Linked DNA regions of Caenorhabditis elegans. The protein of the gene in region 1 purifies or fractionates together with the protein of each later gene. This does not show direct contact. Each region holds a gene or a part of one and is shown in the gene's direction. Other genes may lie near its edges.

Region 1 (8,114 bases):
TATTTACACATCGAAACAGAGTTTTTAGTTCTAAAACACCAGTGTTCAGACAAAGTACAAACCGCTTTAAACTTGTGTTTTAAAGATCACTATAACTTTTCAAAATCTCTTCAGAAAATAGTAACCTTTTGTTGGACAGCATTGTTGATTTTGACACTCGTAACCATGTGGGCAATTCGAACATCCAACAGTCTGACCAGAAGTGGCTCCAGCTGGGTATGCTCCAGATGGACATACAGCTGAAAAACTATTATACACCTTTGTCATCCATTGTTCAACTAACCGTAAGCTAAATCGTCAGAAGCAGTCGCGTTCCGGCAAGCTGATTCACAAGCCTCTTTCGATTGGAATCGATTGGAGTTGCCGTCGCATCCCTAAAATTGTTTTATTCATTTTAATTGAACGTTTTTCCAAGAAGTATACTATTCTGTTAAATTCAACGAGAAATTTCCGTTTGTGAGAAGATAAGGTATATTCCTAGCATCAGCTCAAGCACAAGCTAAGAATATACCGTAAGTATGGCCCTTAGCCTGGGCATAAGCCTAACCTTAGCCTATGACAAAACCTAAGCCTAACTAGGGAACCATCAGAAGGTGCCCATCAGACTTGCATATGAAACCTATGCCATTCGATAGCCCATGTCTTAAAACGGTTACTCGTGAATTTTTAGCTGCGAATCTCCAGAACCAAGGTCACTGCGAGCTCTCAAAGATTCTAAAATAGCACTATAACGAAGCACTGTAACGATGAAAAGAAGCAATTTTCCAAATTCACTTTGGTAGCCTATATCTCCGTGGATATATTTTTTACAGAAAAGTCATCAACTAAAAATTTTTTTGATAAAAACTTGTAGTTGAAAGTTTTTATCAAAAAAATTGTTGTTTCAGATTTAACTAAAAACTTGTTCTTTACAACAATATCAACAACTTTTTAGTTGATGACTTTTCTGTAAAAAATTTATCGGCGGAGATATGAGCTACCAAAGTGAATTTGGAAAATTGACCTTTCAAAGCTTCGTTACAGTGCTATTTTAAGATCTTTGAGAGCTCGCCGTGAGCTTGGTTCTGGAGATTCGCAGCTAAAAATTCACGAGTAACCGTTTTAAGACATGGGTTATCGAATGGCATAGGTCTCATATGCAAGTCCGATGGGCACCTTCTGACGGTTCCCTAGTAAGCCTCCTCCGAGACTAAAAATTTTGGAGTGACCTTCTATTAAGGTCCTCTTTCAATTATAATAGGTTTCATTCGGAAGTCCGAGGACGAGCTGAAAGGCTTCCCTTGTCAGCCTAACTCTAAACCAAAGCTTAAGCCTAAACCTAAACCTAATATAGGTAGTATGCTAAAGGACTACTGGAAAAAACAGTACCTGATAGAAAAATGGCTGACATGTGCGGGTATTCTTGTGGAAATAAAATGAGCGGGCTCCCTGCTGACCACATCCAGAATTTCCAGTATCGCGAGCGGAAAAACAATCTGTCTGCTGTTGAGCAAAGCAAAATGTTATGAAAATGGTGGAAATCGTAATTGCAGTTAGCATTGTCTGAAAAAATACAATTTTTTTTACCCGTTAATGATCAATGAGAGTGGAATAATATTACTAGCCAATGCCAATTAAAAGCAGAAACCAAAAAGAAAACTTCAATTCTCGAATGATCTTTTCCTATTTTATACTCAAATTCCTAGCAATATTTACTTAAGAATCTTCGTCCCACCTACATAACTAAGATTTGGCAAATATCAAAAGTTTGGTCAACAGGAAAATGTTCAAAATTGAGTTGGTGGTTAACAAATAACCTACACATTCTCCCGAAAAAGAATTCATTAAAGATCAATGGGCACGATTGAAAACATGGCAAAGTTTTATTGAAAAATGAAAAACAGGCAAATATTTGGCTGAAATCGCTCAGTTTTCAGAAAATATCCACACTTTGACTGAAAATGGTGTAGGAATTGATGTAATAACAAGAGACAACAATCGATGTGGTTCCGTTTTTACAAATCGAATTGTTGATAACAAAGAAAATAAGGGAGCGTTTTGAAAATGAAGGAACTGGTTTTTCGATTGTACGAGATACAATAGTTCTTGACACAGACACCTACAATTTGTTGATAACGAAGGATAGACGCATCGGGTTGATGATTAAACAAATTTGAAGGAAGTACACGAAATTTCAAAAATTTAAAGGTGGAGTAGCGTCAATGGGGATTTTGTCTAAATACGCTTATTATGATTTCAAACGACCGAATATCATAATAAAACTACAAAAATTTTTAGATTTTCCCTAATTTCGGTCAAAGTTTTGGCACATTACCAAAATTTTGACAAATATGAGCTTTTGAGGACATCCAAAGCAATGTCGCATATTCCGGTCTTTACAATGATTCAACAAAAATAATTGAAACAAAATTACAGTATAAAAAATGTAGGAAAAATAATTTTTTTTGGTCGACTTCCAAAATTATGAGTGGCAAAAACTGAATATTGAACACTTTTTGACAGTGAATAAAAATTTTTCAAAAAAGTTTTGAAAAGTTTTATTATGATTATTTGTCACTTTGGCACCATAGGAGTATTTTTTAACACTTACTCCATTGGCCCTACTCCACCTTTAATAATTTTCAGATTTCCTAATTTTCTAGATTGCATGCTAATTTTTACAATTACTAGTTCAATGTTTCTTAATCTGATTTCGGTTTAATGCAACTATTATCATACGCCAGGAAATCGAATGTACCGTACGTATAATCAATGTAACTGATGTGATTTTTCATAATTTTTTCCTAAAATTGTTTTTCAAAATTTTTTCAAAAATTGCTATGGAAAAAACTATTTTCAAAAGACCGACCTGTGGACCGACTGTACCGTATTTCCTCTATTAGTCTTGCACTCCTACAGACTAATTGAAAATCAGTCTTACAGCCTGTAATAGTCTAGCACCCCACTTTTTGTCATATTAGCAGAACTTTGTGGAAACGTAAGCAAATTTATCATTTTTGGAGTAAATCAAATGTAAAATCGTTCAAATAATTGATGTAATATTGGGAAAGTATGTATTTTTCATTGTTTGAACGGTCAAAATTGTATCACTTTCCAAAGTTCGAAAAATAGTTTTCAGTCTCTATTAGTCTTGCACCCCTAAAGACCAATTGAAAATTAGTCTCGCATGCAAGACTAATAGCGAAAATACGGTAAATGCAGAGTTGTTGTCTTTCTTAATTTATTTTTATTTTTATTTATTTGAATATTAGTTGTTATATGGACGTCCTTTTCTTTCTCAATACATATGCATATACAAATATTAACTTTCCGTTCTTCTTTCCTATTCCCATACATTTATATGTATCCCAAAGCCTTCTCTCTCCCCCACACACACCATTTATCTGCACCATCCTCTTTTCACCCAATCTCTCATTTGTCGTAAACTCTCCTTCCAACTCTACGTCTCTTATTGTTCCCAACACTCTCTCACTTTTTCAACACTGACGACGGCTGTTTTACACTATCTGCTGGCCTGGATGGGGACTTTTGTGTTGCTCTACGGAAAGAATCCTCCCACACAATATTTTTACTGCTATTTGAACATTGAATTATCGATTTTTCAAATTTAAATTTAAGTGCTTAAAGAGGAAATGTTCCAAAACAGAGTTTCATAATGAGACTTCAAAATTTTTTTAACTTATCAATATCTAATTGTACTTTATTTTTTATTATGAATCAACAAATATTTACCCCTTAATAATTTTAAACTTTTCAGCAATAACCATGTCAACACTTGGTCGTAGTAAGACCCCATCTCGTGACGAACCAAAAAAGCCTGGAGTCTTTGAGAAACTCTCTGGTACCCTTTCTCGAAAGAAGAAGGCGCCGGAAGATGAGCATGGAAACCAAGGGGGTGCACATCATGCTACTGATGAAGATGAAGTTTTGGAGGTTAGTTTTGCAAATTAATGGTTTTAGCAAATATAGATTTTTCAGCTTGAACTTGAAGGTCGTGAGGCTCTCGATCAGTCATTGGTCCCAGTTCTTGCAAGAAACATCTGGTTGGAAGAAGGTAAACGGTTTCACCAATATATTTATCCAATATATTTTTTTCCAGGAGAAATTCGTCGTTATCTGACTAAGGAAACAGCCCGCGATCAGAAGTTGGCACAAGTTGTCGATTTGCTGATCTACTGGCTTAATGAAGAGCTAGCTGATCAAAGAATTGTCGTTCGTCACTTGCAAGAAGATCTTTTCGATGGTCAAATCATCCAGAAGCTGTTGGAAAAGTTGGAGCAGATTCGAGTAAGTTATTGGTACAATTTCACAAATTGAATAAATTCTCCACTCACAGTTTTGTTACAGATCGAGGTTCCAGAAGTTTCGCAGTCAGAAGAAGGACAACGTCAAAAACTGCAAATTGTAGTTCAAACAGCCAATCGAATTCTCGGACAGCCAAGAGAACAAGAGAAATGGTCTGCGGATCTTATTCATCAAAAGGTACGCAAATCTTTGTCTGAATTGTTCATTTCTATCAGTCTTACATTTCATTGTGCAGATGTTTGACGCACTGTAGACAAAAGAGTTTCTCACTCGAAGCTGTTCCAAAAACTACCGTATATTCTATATTAGTATGATATGTTAATCTGTGGACACCTCCGCCACACAATACTATTCATCATTTACTATATATAAAGCGCTTATTCTGTGTGTCCATAGTTTGTAGTCTATGTAGTCTTTGTAGTCTGTGAAGTTTTGGCTTCTTGGGATAGTGAGTTGGGGTTAGTGTAGGGATATAGTCGAAGTACTGTATTGGCACAATAGTGGTACGGTAGGAATACTGTAGTTTCAGAAAAAATCAGTTTTCACCCCCAGGTCCACGGCTGGTAATCTATATAGAAATTCGTGAACTGCAATACTAATTTTCGAGGTGGTTTTTGGATGCAAAACTTATTGAGAATATACGATAGTTGAACGCAACAGTACTTTTCGAATAAACAGAGTTACTTTCCATATTTTATATTTTCTCATAAAAGAATATTCCCAGGACTTCACTGCCATCATCCAGCTCCTGGTGCTTCTTGCTCTTCACTACCGTGCTCCAGTTCGATTCCCAGATAACGTGGTTGCTAACGTTGTGGTGGCTCAAAAGGAACATGGTCAAGTGAAGACCCATCGAATTACTGAGCAAATCACTACAGTTCAAACTGAGTTGGCACCGAAGGGCACTCGTGACGCATTTGATACGCTTTTCGATTATGGACCCGATAAGTTGGCTCATGTGAAGACATCTTTGTTGGCTTTTTGTAATAAGCATTTGAATAAAATTAATCTGGAAGTAAGTTTATTCACTTCATTGTGCTACAAAGAAGCTGATATTTGTAAATTTTTAGGTGTCTGATTTGGATAATCAATTCCAGGACGGAGTTTTCTTAGTTCTCCTAGTGGGACTTCTTGAAGGTTATTTCGTCCCGCTTTACCATTTTAATCTCCAAGTTCAAAGCCACGAGGAGAAAGTAAAAAATGTGCAATTTGCGTTCAAACTTATGGAAGACACTGGCCTTGAGAAGCCTAGATCTCGTGTTCAGGATATTGCCAATGGAGATGTTAAGGTTTGTAGTTTTGACAATTTACAGAAAAATATACCATTTTCCTAATTTAATTCAATTTACAATCCTCAATTTTAAATAGTGCAAAATTTTAAGGGATTGAAATCAAAGTGTAATCGCGCTTCAGCCGGAAATGAAAATGTCCCGCCTCCTTTAATTGGGTCTCGTTAGGTATCGCCATTTGGTTGAAGCGCGATTACATTCGCAGTTGTCGAATTTTCTTTTCACGACGATTCAGCAATCCCGAAGAATTTTAAACAAGTGGCAAAAACAAATTTTCTGCTCATATCTGATGCGATGGATTTTCTATATACAATCCTAATTCATTCTTTATTGCAGAGCACTCTCCGTCTTCTCCATTTGCTTTTCACTAAGTACAAACATATCTAATCTGAGAACTTCATTCGTCATCCTAATCAAACGACACCGTCCAATAATTTGTGTCTGGCTCAACAACTATGGTGCTTTAATTTTGTTAAAATTGCATTTATGTCAATAAATCTTTTAATTTTTAGACTTAGCACTATATTAAATTAAAGAAATTGGCAAATTCCGAAAAAAAAACTCTATTTGAACTCCCTCGTAAAGGAGATTTGCAATGGGGCGCGTTTGCATTAATAAAATTTAATGCATTTTCTCATCGATTCTTTTATTCTTGTTTCTTTATTTTAATTAATATGAATTGATTGTATATAAAATTGTATTTATTTTACAGAAAATGCCTCTTCCACCAGCTCTTCTCGCTCGACTTCAAAAAAGGGGAATTGTAAAGCAAGAAGAAGAGGTTATCGCTGAAAACTATGAAAAAGAGCCAGAAAAGAAAAGTTTCGAAGAGAATTCGGCAGGAGCACCTGGTTGTCCAAATAAATGGAATCAATATCACGTTTGCCTCGAATTTTGCTATGATCATTGGGGCGATGGAACTCCGGAATATCGGTTTGTTTTGAATTTTAGCGAAAAATTAATTAAAAATCGTTTTTTTTTGCAGGTTGCCCGAGAGATATGTGCAGAACAAAAACAGAATGCTTGCAAAGTTTCCACTTCCCGAAAATTGGGTTGAAGTCTATGATGAGGGACTTGCGAAGTATTATTTCTGGAATAAAACAACAGATGAGGTGAGAAGCAGAATAATTTTCTGATTTTAATTGGTTTTTTTCAGGTTTGTTGGTACTCGCCTCGTCATCCACGAGCTATTATCAGTGATCCAGCTCCTCGAATCGCCAGAGAGCATGCTACAGTGCTTTTTGGAGATTCTCACGCATCTGAGGTAGAATTTGAAGCTGAAATCGTACTTAATGGGTATCGCCGCCGGAAAAAAGTAGCTTGTACTTTTATTTTTGCTATTTTCAACAGTTTGCTCAAGAAATTCTAGAAAAAAACTTTCATGGACAAAACGCGGCGAGACTCATTTATAAGGATCCGAGCGCCTTTAAATACGAATTTCCGAACATTTATTCTTTAAAACTATGTACTTTTTCCAGGAGGACAATGCCGCCCGCCGCAGAAATTTCCACAACAAGAAAACTTCACGCGGAGGGAATGATGATAAGCAATCACGTGGCAATAATGCTGAAAAGCGGAAGCGACGTGATCCGATGACGTCACAGGGTCCAGATTCAGATGAAGACGAGTTACAGGAAATGACAAATAAGGATAGACTGAAAAGAGCAAAAAGGAAAGGAATTGATCCAATGGATCCAGCAGCTTATGGAGATGCTCCAGTGTAAGCTTTTTTTTCTAAAATTCTGTTTCTGAAGCGAAAAAATTAGAATTTTCAAGAAATTGGATTCAAAAATTCAAAAATTTCGAGAAACATAAATAAAATCTCAAATTTAAAATCTCCAACTTCTCCGTTTTTCAGCGGTCTAATTTTAGCTAAATTTATAGTTTTTCTTCAGAAAATTATAATTTTCCATTTGAAATTTGGGGAATACGGTAGCTTCAAAAGTACGCAACCCGAAAATACAACGTTTCCGGCGAAATGTCGATATGAAAAAATTATGAAAAATAATATTTGAGCGAAAAAATTTGATTTTTATATGATATTTCAGTGGAAAATGGTCGGATGGTCTTCGAGTTGATCAGGTGACTGGAGCCGACGTGACTGCTGGTGGACCACTTTTCCAACAAAGACCCTATCCTGCTCCGGGAGCAATTCTCAGAAAGCAGAAACCACAGGATGAAGAGGACGATCAATAATTCAATTTTATTGTTTTAATTTTTGATTATTTTAATTCAAAATTCCTACTCCACTTCCTTCCAAAAGTTCTGTCATTTCCTACTATTTATTTGTTCTGTTTTGTACCGTTGTACCTGTATCTTTTTCTTTTTCTATGCACATAAATGTGCTCAGACATCTGAATTTTTCTCTGTGCTTCTCCAAAACATTTCCATAAATTCATCAACTGTTTCTATGCATTAAATAAAACGTACAATAGAAAAAAAGCAGCAATGGAGAGATAAACTGAGAAGATGGTAGTAATTGAAATATTACAGGAACACTAAATGCTGAGAATGCGTATC
Region 2 (6,052 bases), on another chromosome or scaffold:
AATAAGAAAAGCAACAAGGTTCGCTTTAAATGCAATTGAGTCTATTAAAATAGGTTCAATTTCAGCTGCACAAGTTCAACGAAGTCGGCCAAATAGCATCGGGGGGAGCATCAACAGTAAGACTTTCAGCGTCAAAAACAATTGGATCCATGCCAAGACTCGTGGATTGGAAGGACACGAGAGAAGAGTATGTAACACAAATCAAATACTTTATTTTTAAAAAATATTTCAGAAGTACGGAGGAATTGTTGAAGACATCAACTAATCATGTTCGACACGACTCGCAGAATTCAGATGATCAATCAGACAGTTTGCTTTCTACAATGTATGCTTCAATTTTCTATTTTCATCGCATTCTCCGTGAATATTTTTCAGGAGTGATACTTCGACAGCACCTTCTACAATTTCTTCTTCTGGACACGTGCCGATTTCAGACACACAACCACTGACACCGAAGCATCGATATCCAGTATAATTAAACCATCCTTTGTTTTTCTTACTTCCTCATTCTCATTGCGGGTTCAAAATTCGCATACAATTTTTACTCGTACAGTTTCTGTCACATGTTCGAGTTTTTCATTTCAATCATCTAATTATGAATCCACCTTCTCATCCACAATCAATTTAACTCACGATGCGGGTCATCCTTGTCCCTGATTTTAATGAAAAAGCTTTTCGTCTCGTCAGTTCATGTAATGTGTTTTGTACAGTTATGTTGCACACATTTGGATTAATAAACTATAAATAATTGCTTTATAAATTTTGGTTTATGACAAGAATCTAGCGACACGAGTAGCGAAAAAATAAAAAGAAACCGGGAGAAGAGCATCATAGAACGTAAGGAATGAGAGCTTTCCGACTTTTCGGATATTTTGGGAATGTTTTGTGGTACCAGGAGTGAGTGATGAGAGCAGCAAACGTTTGATTGATGCACACGAACATGATTATGAACTGAAACGGATTTTTTTAGAAGAAAAACGGATGAAACTGACAACTTACTCTATACACGTAGGCATCAGGAATTACAAGAAAAAGTGACAAGTAGATGCATATCTCGAATAGAAAGTGAGGACATGAGACGAGATTGAACCAACCACCAAAGCAGATACCATAGGCGTAATTGCGAATTAGTCCTCTAGGACCTTTTCTTGTATTTGCTATTTGTTCGGCTAGCTGATGTTGTTTCCAATTGCAAATCCAAAAAAGGACAGCTCCAGCCCATTGGGTGAGAGAAATATCATCAATTGACACGTGAAGCTGAGGTACTGTGAAAATAAATTACTAGAACATTTCAGATAAGTATCTTCTTACATTTGGAAGCAACTCCCTGTGTTTCACACATAATTGAAATTGGCAGAATGATGTAGTGGACTATCCCAACTGCATAGTGAAACAAGTTCATACGACTGTCCGAGTAAACACTGACAAATATTGTTTCATAGAGACGTCGTGCTACGTGAAGGCTTATGAGCAGGAGAGCCAAGATTGATGTGCTTGGGGTAACTGAAAACATATTTATTTCAACTTAAAAGTGTATAATATGATATTCTAATCAAATTTCTAATTTCTGAAAATTTGAGTCAAAGTTTTGGTAATTTGCCAAATGGTATTTATCTATTTTTAAATTTACGAAACGTTTGAAGTTTTTGAAAAATTTAAAGCAACACCACATGTTTGAAGCCCTACAGTGATTACATAAAATATTTGAAACATTATTAAAATATAACATTTGTAGAATACAATATTTTTGTTGTTTTACAAAATTGAGTAATAGACACTTTTTGACTGAAAATAAAAAGTTTAAGTTCTACTGAAAATTGAAAACAATGAAATTAATACAACTGCGTCGCGACTTCGCATATATTCCAAAAACCACTAATCAAAAAAAAAAAAAGAAAATCACTTTTTTTTTAAAAGAAAAACTTACTTGGTGGTATACTGTAGGATCGTGTTAGCGTGGCAAGAATCTTGAGAACCACTGGATGCAGATAATTAGGATTGTAGATTAACGAGTGGACAGTGTGTAGACATATAAAAAGTGTTAGAAGACCGATTGCGTAAAAATGCTTAAACCATCTGAAAAATTTCAGACAAGGATAGAACTCCCAAAGACTAACTGTACTCACTTTTTAGGTACAGATATTTTTTCTACCAAAGAGTTATCTTCTTGTTGATCAGCAGCTTTTCCATATGTAGTTAGTGCAGGTATCAATCGACAAACGTGAGGACATATGAGAGTAAAACAACATGAAATGGCAAGTCCAAGCGTAGATACTAACAGATAAAGGGGCAGTGCTTGGCGCACTTCCCAAAGTCTATCTAACATTCTGAAATGAATAATTGTATAGAAAAATCAATGGACACAGAAAAATAAAGTCAAAAACGGAAACAAGAAGAAAAGAGCGGAAATGAGTAATGGAAACATTTTTGGACGAGGGAGGAGCCGACGCAGAGTTTCTTTTTCTGAGGAGAGAATACGCCAAACGAGTGCAGCTGCAAGTGTGTAAGTGCGCGATGAGAAAGTAAATAGAAAAACCAATGGCAGATACTGGGCAGTTGGAGTTTTGAAAAAAAAATAAAGAAAAAAAGAAGTAAAACGTTTTCTTTTGATTTCACAGGTCGTTCAATGTAAAATGTTTCTAAAATGTTTGTCCGAGAGGAGTACATGGCCGAGAGAACGCGTGGCCGTGGCCTAGTTCTAGGAACAATTTTAAACGTTGATTTATTTATTTTTTGCGTCGATTTGGAACAAATCTCCGCATCGTTCGAGTTATAATTTCTCTCCTTATTTTAATTTTCATTTTTTCAAATATTTAGCAAGCTGCGCTAGATTCCTCCTAAGTTTTTCTCATTCGTTCGAACGATTTGTCATCACTTTTCTTCAGAGAAAATATGTCTCACATTTTTGATGCGTCTGTGTTAGCTCCACACATTCCTTCGAATCTTCCTGACAATTTTAAAGTTCGTCCCTTGGCAAAAGACGATTTCTCGAAAGGATATGTTGATCTTCTGAGTCAGTTGACTTCGGTCGGAAATCTTGATCAGGAAGCATTTGAAAAGCGATTTGAGGCGATGAGGACCTCGGTCCCCAATTATCATATAGTCGTCATCGAAGATTCCAATTCTCAAAAAGTTGTTGCATCTGCCAGTTTGGTTGTCGAAATGAAGTTCATTCACGGGGCAGGAAGTCGCGGAAGGGTTGAAGATGTTGTCGTGGATACTGAAATGCGTCGTCAAAAATTAGGAGCCGTTCTTTTGAAGACTCTTGTTTCTCTTGGAAAGTCTCTCGGAGTTTACAAAATTTCTCTCGAGTGTGTTCCTGAACTTCTCCCATTCTACTCACAATTCGGGTTCCAGGACGATTGCAATTTTATGACTCAGCGCTTCTAAATTTCACACGTTAATTCATTGATTATTCTGCTAATGGGGTCTTGTAATATGGTTTTTACGCATAATTTGTTTTATCGTTTGGTCTGATTTCTTTCATGTATTTATTGAATAAAGTTTAGATGGAAACCGAATTTGGATTGACCGAGTATGCCAGTGAGCATACAATCACTCCTGTGCCCTGCCTACTGAAAGAAATGTACAGTGACTTCATCGTTCAAGAAATTTTAGGTTATTTAATCAAACTCAATTAATGTTACTAGAATTAATTTTATTTTCAGCCGACCACACAGTTTTGGCCATTCCATCGCCAGATGTTGTCCTAGAAAGTACTGGGTCCAAAAAAGAAGACATTGAGATCGAAGAGTGTGTTGCTAAGCCAGATTGCATCTCAGAAGAGACATTAGCTGCATTAAATGACCGATTCTCTACGAAAGGAGATCCCGTTCTTGTAAAAGTTGACGATTTGAGCAAGGAAGATCGAAAAAGCATTCATCATTTCATTAGAGAGCGGTATGCTGGAGTTTTAATCACCGAAACGAAGGAAGATGGAATTCTGGTATCTCATGGTCATACGAAGAGCAGTCGGAAGCGAAAACTATGGGATGAAAAAGTTCCAAAGGAATGTCACTTCACCATTTGCAAAGAAAATAAAGAGACTAGCTTTGCTTGCCAACTTATTGCAAAGTTTTTAAAGTAAGTTGTAATTTAGAAAAAAACTTTTTAAAAAGTAATTTTCAGTGTGGGCCCGAACAATATCAGAACTCACGGAATTAAAGACAAGAGAGCTGTGACTTCACAGAGAGTTAGTGTTACTAAAGTGCATGAGCGAACGATTCTGGATTTGAATTCGAAACTCCGCGGTATTCGAGTCTTTGGATGTGAGTATAAAGATGACCCAGTTCAAATGGGAGCTCACTGGGGAAATCGATTCAGCATTGTACTAAGAAGCTTGCCTGACGATTCGGAACAATTGCTCCATCAAAGACTGGAAACATTCCAAAATACGGGATTCATCAACTATTTCGGTGAGTATCGGTGGTGAGTATCAATAGACCTCATAACCTTCAGGTACTCAACGATTTGGTTCACGAAGTTCTACGACAGCCGAAATCGGATTAGCTATTGTGAAAAGAGACTGGGAGAAAGCAGTCAAAATGATCATGACTAATGCTATGCCCGGTTAGCGCTAAAACATTAAAAAAAAAGAAAATTAATATTTTTTAGATCATCTGGGATACGGGTCAGTTGGCTACGCCGCTAAGTGCTTTTCCCAAACTGGGGATGCTAGAAAAGCATTTTCCAAGCTGAAAGGAGCTCAGGCTTTTGCTACAGTCGAAGGAAATATTTTGAAGTGTCTCTCGAAAGGAGGAACATGGCAAAATTGTATTACTGAAGCAATTCCGATTCAAAGCCGCAGTCTTTATGTCCACGCTTATCAAAGCCTCATTTGGAATAAAGTAGCTTCTCGTCGAGTTAAGGAATATGGTACTCGAGTACATGAAAGTGACGTTGGAGCCAATGGATTCTCTCTTGGCGAGCATGCAACTCATTATGATATCCATATACCACTACCGGGAGAAAACTTGCCATTTGAGGGTAGTTATGGCGCTAAGTGGATCTCTGAATTGCTTGAAGAAGATGGACTCACTCAATCGAGCTTCACAGCACTAAAAGAGTAAGTTTCCTGGTCCAAGTTCAATCAATGTAATATATTTTAAGTCGGTTTTCACTTGGCGAATCATCAAGATGCTTGTTTGTTGAAGCGAAGGAGCTCAAATGGAAGTTTATTCGATATGGAAATGCACGAGATCTCTTGCAAGATGGATTACAAACACGTGCTATCCCAGAAGCAGAACAGAAAGGTCCACTTCTGGCATTGCAAATTCAGTTTAGCTTGATATCTGGATCATATGCAACTGTAGCTCTTCGTGAGGTAACTGGAAGTGATATGGGCAAGAAGGCTATGAGAGATGCTTCGTTCAAAACACGTGGTGACGATGAAAAAACTGAAGAAAATGTGTTGGAAGAAAAAGGATCCGATGATGCGAATGAGCTGAATCTTGTTTCAGAGGACCAATGATACAACAGTTTCAATGTTTCATTTTATTTTTATTGTTAACCTTTTTGTTATTTGTTGTGAATTTATAAAATTGCTTATGTTCGGTGAGGTGTATTTATTTAATTCTGGTTGATTTCCAACTTTTCCGTTTATTTTTTTGTAATGCCACTCTACTCTTATCAGTTCATAATATTTTGCAGATGAGTTCCTTGAACATAATCTGCCCAAATGCAAAAAGGGTTCAAATAAAAACCACTCCAATGATGCTGATGAGGCAAGTTCTCGAAGAAGCTTGTCTGAAAAGTGGTTTTGAAGTAAACAGTCATCGTCTTCAAACACAATCTCGTAAACCCATTGACTCTTCTCTTCCATTTCGACTCACCGGACTCGCCAACAATGCAACTCTCGAAATGACACAAAAGGAAGCTGTATCCGAGAATACGATTATTGAACTAGCTATTCAGACTGCTTCTGGAGCTCGCCATCAGAAGAAAGTAGGTGTAAACCAGATGCTCTTAGATGCCTTGAAAAGTTTCACGAGCGAGTTCAAAGAAGATTTAGCGACGACAATTGATGGATCCGTTCCGTGCATTGTCTACATGA
Region 3 (5,671 bases), on another chromosome or scaffold:
AGTTTCAATCCCAATGCTGAATGCTCAAATTTCTCTGTGCTCTTTTCTCCTCTTCACACTTTTTCCGCTTTCCGCTTCTCTGTTCCGCATCGATTTTCCATCCGCTTCTCCCATTTCCATCTCTAGTTTCTTCTTTCTCTTTCTACTCTTCATTTTCCACCAATTCGTTTCGTTTTCTGTATATGATCAAGTTTATTTTAATTCCATGTACTAATTGCCAAATTAACCATAAACATCAAAATTCCTAATCAAATCCTCAATTGCTGATGAAATAATTTCTAAAACTCGTAATATTTTTTCTAAAGAACACATCGTAGTCATTTCATTACTACAAAAAAACATATGTTTTTCCTATAATGATGACAAAACACAAATCGACACGAGGAGGTCAAATGATGACAATGACAAATCAGAAAAGTTGGAAGGAAACGTATATAAAAGGACGAATTATGAAGTTCAGTTGCTAGACAATATGTCTATTTGCTTTTCAACTAACAAGCATAAAAAATTTGCACTTTTTTTTAACTTTGAGTTTAACTTTCAGCTGAAAATAGAAAATTACACTGATATTTTCAAAAATTCTAGGAATTTTAAATGTCCTCTGCATTCTGAACTTGAAATTGTCAAATATCAATTTTCTTTTTCAGTTTTCTATTTTTCAAAGAGCTCTTCAACTTTCAAAAGTCCCCATCCATCCGACCAGTAGTTTTTTGTAAAGTATATCATTTCTCTTCATCTCTCAATCATTATGATCTCTAACTCTTCACATCTATCAACATTCTCCATTCCTTCCAAACGGCTGATGCAACTGTCTGCCGCGTGCCGCTCAGATTGAGGGGCGGGAGGTGAGCGGACGCAAAGCAGCGTCCATATAAATTTGCGCAGGAGCATTCACTAGACATGCCATTCTGACCTTTTTCCTCTCTATGTCTATTTAATTTTCAAATCGTAAAAATTTTATAATTTTATCAAGTGAGTAGCACATGGCGAGGTTGGTTTGTTATCTTGAAATTGAAATTAAATTTGAATTTCTGCTGACAAATGTTTTTGAGATAGTGACGTATGTGTCACTGAACTCTTATCAATTGTTGACATACTTAATGAAAAAAACGGAGAATCAAACTTCAATAATCTTTTGCTGTTCTACTTCTTAATATGATATAAGTAAGTATGTTCACAGACCTTTAAAAAATCATTTTTTGTCTACTTTTTCTAGTATCCAGAATACATAAATTGCTTATTATTATTAAAATTAAAAGGTGGGCTTAATTTTTACGACAGTATAGACATGAAACATTTTAAATTTTCGATTTTCAGCCAAGTTCCGGTTGGTTTAAGAATACGAGGTCACCTTCAGAATGTTCTGATAGAATTGAAAATAGCTTTCAAAATAATTATTTATTTGAGGTTTATTAGATCCTTCAGTGAATGTTTTGGCAAATTCGGCAACAACTCCACATTTTTACACCTTTGGTGAAAATTATTAATCTAGTTAGTTAATCTAGTTAATCTAAAATTATGGGTACTTATACATTTAAAAAATTAATTTTTCATTCAAGTAGCAAATTGGTAAAACCTGCTTTCTGATCACAAGCAATAAAATGTAAACCTACTGGTAGCAACTCTACCTATTTCTAAATCTAGAAGAAAATGCAATTGATCAATAAATTGAAACTTTCGCTTTCTTTTTCCTCCTCCTCCAAATTCAAGACTTCCTGCAAATGAAATGTCGTCTCAAATCTTATCTTTTCCACGCCAAGGTTGCCAATTAAAAAACACGTCACAATTATCATCATTTCTATGTATTCAATCCCTATCTGCCTCTTCCAAATGATATTTTGAACTTGAACTCTCTCCTTCTGGTGCCCTTTGTCCAACTGCTCGAGACACACATGTGGCTGGTTTGCAGTAGACACAACGAGAGAATGAGACAAATTCTTCTCTCTTTTTGATAACGAAAAAATGATACGAGACATAGAGAAATCGATGCTTTGAGGATTTGATTTCATCGACATGTTTCTCAAACAAAATACCACATGGTAGACCTCCACGTGGGGTGATTGGCACTGGAATTTGAACTTTTTGAAAAAAAAAACTGTAACATGTGATAAATATTATATCAACTAAACGAAGGAACAAAATAAACATTAAGATAGTGTTCAAACTGCACAATTACGTGATTTCAGTTAATTTAAAATTCCTTCAAGACTTTGGAAACTCTAATAGTAAGTCACGTCAAACTGTGTTATCTTTTGTTTCAAGATCGTCATTAGTAAATACATTTATGATTACTGACTTTCATAGTTTGTAAAAAAAAATAATTGCAGCAAGAACTCTTTGTGAACTTGAGCTGATACATTGTCATGATACTGTTGGCCTACTGTAGTTTGTATGCAGAGCCAGTGGAGATTTTCAAAAAAACTCATCTTATGGTGCTAAAATATAGAAATTTTTATACATCCTTAAATGTTTTCGGAAATTTCTATTATTTATACAACGTTGTAATTACTTAAGTTAGTTCTCTTCTATCCTTTTGGAAGTCGATCAAAATAACATTTTCCACGATTTTTAAGTTTTTACTATAAAAACAAATATTAGTAGGGAGGGATAGGGTCGGGGTACTGTAGGATTAATGTATTTTTGTAGAAACCTCTGTTTCTATTAAAATGTTTCTATTACTAGTATTAGGCCAATTCATGTTAAAAATTAAGATTCTGGTTCGTAGAATGTGACTTGACATTATACAATTCAAATTCCGAACTTTTCAAAAAATACTATAGAATTTACAAATATTCAGCTGTTCACGAAAAAACCATATTTGAGCAATAAAAATTGTTTTTAACCAACATATAAAAACACCACAGAATCCCCAGAAATGTCAAATTTATTACCAAACTTGTGCCAAATACATATTATTTTTTGAAGTATGAAAAATACGCCACCTATCAGTCGTTAATCTTATCTTTTATTTTTCAAATTTCTCAATTTCCCACGCTTCTTCTCATATCCGGTTTTTTCTGCAAAATGGTCTCGTTTGGAGATTTGATAAGAGTGTTTATTCCAGATGTGTACATCATTCAATAGTATCAAACATTGTTCATTCCTTCTTTGCACATCACTATTTATTTTTCTTCTTTTCTTCCGTTTTTAACATCTTGTTTGCCTAATCAGCTACATTCTGTAAAATCTAAAAATAATAGAAGATTAACGTCTTTTTGACCAATGTCAAGAACGTTTTTTTCTTTAACGATTTCATTGAAACTTTCGGCGTGTCGACCGACCCTTCGTTTGACCCCGCCCCTTTCATTCGTTCTTTTTTCTTTTCTCTCCTCTTTCTCTCACACTTATAAATCCATTTGATTATCATTTCTCGACATCAGTCTTCTTATTGCAGCCTGTCTCAAGATTAAAATGGCTACTTTCCCACACTTCGGAACTGCTGCTATCCACGTTGGACAAGAACCAGAGCAATGGGATATGAATCAGGTTTGTCATAGGTATTCTGAATATAAATACTGAACTGATACTTTTCAGGTGGTCCCGCCAATCAGCTTGTCCTCGACCTACAAACAGGATAATCCAGGAGAGCCAAAGGGACACGATTATTCTCGTGCTGGAAACCCAACTCGTGATGTTCTTCAAAAGAATCTGGCTGCTCTCGAAGACGCAAAACACTGCCAAGTGTTCTCTTCAGGACTTGCCGCAACTTCCGCAATCATCAATCTTCTCAAGTACGGAGATCATATTGTGTGCTCTGATGATGTCTACGGAGGTACTCAAAGATATATCCGCCGTGTTGCTGTTCCTAATCACGGATTGGAAGTCGATTCGGTTGATTTGACGGATGTTCAGAATCTCGAGAAAGCAATCAAACCAAATACCAAGATGGTTTGGTTTGAATCTCCATCTAACCCACTTTTGAAGGTTGTTGATATTGCCGCAGTGGTCCAAACTGCAAAGAAAGCCAATCCAGAAATTGTTGTAGTTGTTGATAATACCTTCATGTCTCCATACTTCCAACGCCCAATTTCTCTTGGAGCGGATGTTGTCGTTCATTCAATTACCAAGTATATTAATGGACATTCTGATGTTGTTATGGGTGCTGTTATCACTGATAATGACGAGTTCCAACAACATCTTTTCTTCATGCAACTTGGTTAGTTTACTGTGCTGTTGTACGCAGTGAAATCTAGTCGTATAATTTTGTCATTTTGAGGCATAGATACGGTAACCGGTCTTGAAGCTAGTGAAACTTGGCAGCTACTGTATTCGCAAGTGCTTCGAATTTTTTCTTAACGGTTTTCACTGAATTTCAATATTAATTTCTTCGTGTTTTTCTAGAAAAGAAATCAGTTTCTCTGCTTTAGAAATCATATAAAATACATTGGAACTATAAAAAAAATTGCTAAATACTTGTGGGTACTGTAGAAGCAAAGTTTCGCTCATATCGAGAACATGTACCTTGAGTCAAATGTCGCAAAATTATAAAACTGTTTAAAATCTCATTGGATAGCTAAATTAATCGTTAACTCAAAATTTTAATGCTATTATTTTCAGCCGTCGGAGCAGTCCCATCTCCATTTGATTGCTTCCTTGTTAATCGTGGACTCAAAACTCTTCACATCAGAATGAGAGCTCACTATGAAAATGCTCTTGCTGTTGCCAAATACCTTGAAGCCAATGATCGTATCGAATCAGTTCTCTATCCAGCTCTTCCATCTCATCCACAACATGAAGTTCATGAGAAACAAACAAAGGGAATGTCTGGAATGATCTCATTCTATCTTAAAGGAGAACTTCAAGAGAGTCGTGCTTTCCTTTCTGCTCTCAAAGTATTCACTTTGGCTGAATCTCTTGGAGGATATGAATCACTTGCCGAGCTTCCATCTATCATGACTCATGCTTCAGTGCCTGCTGAAACTCGAATTGTTCTTGGAATCACTGATAACCTTATCCGTATCTCTGTTGGAATTGAAGATCTCGATGATTTGGTTGCTGATTTGGATCAAGCTTTGAAGATTGCCATTCCAAAAGTATAACTTTTCAATCATTTTATGATATGCATTTGTTTCAAATCTGAAAGCCGGTACTAGTTTTAATTGCCCACTCGTCTCCACCACAACCTCTAACTAATCGACTCAAATTGTGTCTTACACTATCCAATAAATTTTTTCTATGAAAAATGATAATTGTTATTCGAAACAGAAATTGGAATACATAACATGATATTTTGCAATTGGTATATGAAAGAAAGGTACACATTGAATTATAATTAGATAGCGTAGAAGGAATCATAGAGAGATCATTTAAGTTTGAATGTCATAATTTTCATCTTCTTCTGTCAATCTTCTGGGGATGGTACTCTTCTTTTCCGACTCGACGATCCCGTTGTCTGTGTTTCTTTCTCTTTCTGCTCTCTTATCTGAAAGCTATGAACAAAAATAAGCAATATCTATTGTTTCAAAATTACCTCGCGCACTTCAGCCATGATATACTCGGGAAGTTCGTAATCGGTGACACTATTAAACTCGCTTGGATACGATTCATTTTCTTCACAGAATCTCAGACCGAACCATTTTTTGAGCTTATCTTCGATCATTTCAAGTGAAGGACGACACAAGTATTTAGGCGGATATGAAGTTCGTTCTGGGCGTCCTCCCATCAAGAGGTC

The links.
Region 2: the proteins of pat-6 (region 1) and B0024.11 fractionate together in Caenorhabditis elegans (co-fractionation; one large-scale study listed by BioGRID). This does not show direct contact.
Region 3: the proteins of pat-6 (region 1) and cth-2 fractionate together in Caenorhabditis elegans (co-fractionation; one large-scale study listed by BioGRID). This does not show direct contact.

The regions. Positions count from the first base shown.
Region 1 is NC_003282.8:259,876-267,989, reverse strand, and holds pat-6 (Paralyzed arrest at two-fold protein 6), read left to right. Parts: upstream 1-3,757; 5' UTR 3,758-3,765; coding exon 3,766-3,933; intron 3,934-3,978; coding exon 3,979-4,054; intron 4,055-4,099; coding exon 4,100-4,287; intron 4,288-4,347; coding exon 4,348-4,482; intron 4,483-5,029; coding exon 5,030-5,320; intron 5,321-5,375; coding exon 5,376-5,594; intron 5,595-5,930; coding exon 5,931-5,981; 3' UTR 5,982-6,104; downstream 6,105-8,114. Other genes in the region: T21D12.12 (BPTI/Kunitz inhibitor domain-containing protein), read right to left, coding at 126-239, 284-374, 1,369-1,539; pqbp-1.1 (WW domain-containing protein), read left to right, coding at 6,310-6,527, 6,580-6,706, 6,751-6,858, 7,073-7,314, 7,643-7,790. UniProt on the Caenorhabditis elegans protein: Involved in the regulation of cell adhesion and cytoskeleton organization. Component of an integrin containing attachment complex, which is required for muscle development and maintenance.
Region 2 is NC_003283.11:10,316,992-10,323,043, reverse strand, and holds B0024.11 (Putative pseudouridine synthase B0024.11), read left to right. Parts: upstream 1-3,509; coding exon 3,510-3,618; intron 3,619-3,668; coding exon 3,669-4,083; intron 4,084-4,128; coding exon 4,129-4,415; intron 4,416-4,458; coding exon 4,459-4,569; intron 4,570-4,614; coding exon 4,615-5,065; intron 5,066-5,109; coding exon 5,110-5,470; 3' UTR 5,471-5,552; downstream 5,553-6,052. Other genes in the region: crim-1 (Cysteine-rich motor neuron 1 protein-like), read left to right, coding at 1-18, 66-187, 233-325, 376-475; srdf-3 (Polyprenal reductase), read right to left, coding at 829-951, 1,000-1,265, 1,312-1,503, 1,928-2,076, 2,127-2,326; gna-1 (Glucosamine 6-phosphate N-acetyltransferase), read left to right, coding at 2,893-3,390; asps-1 (TUG ubiquitin-like domain-containing protein), read left to right, coding at 5,650-6,052.
Region 3 is NC_003280.10:7,055,684-7,061,354, reverse strand, and holds cth-2 (Putative cystathionine gamma-lyase 2), read left to right. Parts: upstream 1-3,394; 5' UTR 3,395-3,411; coding exon 3,412-3,486; intron 3,487-3,534; coding exon 3,535-4,156; intron 4,157-4,557; coding exon 4,558-5,039; 3' UTR 5,040-5,171; downstream 5,172-5,671. Other genes in the region: ZK1127.3 (EAF7 family protein), read right to left, coding at 5,307-5,429, 5,471-5,671.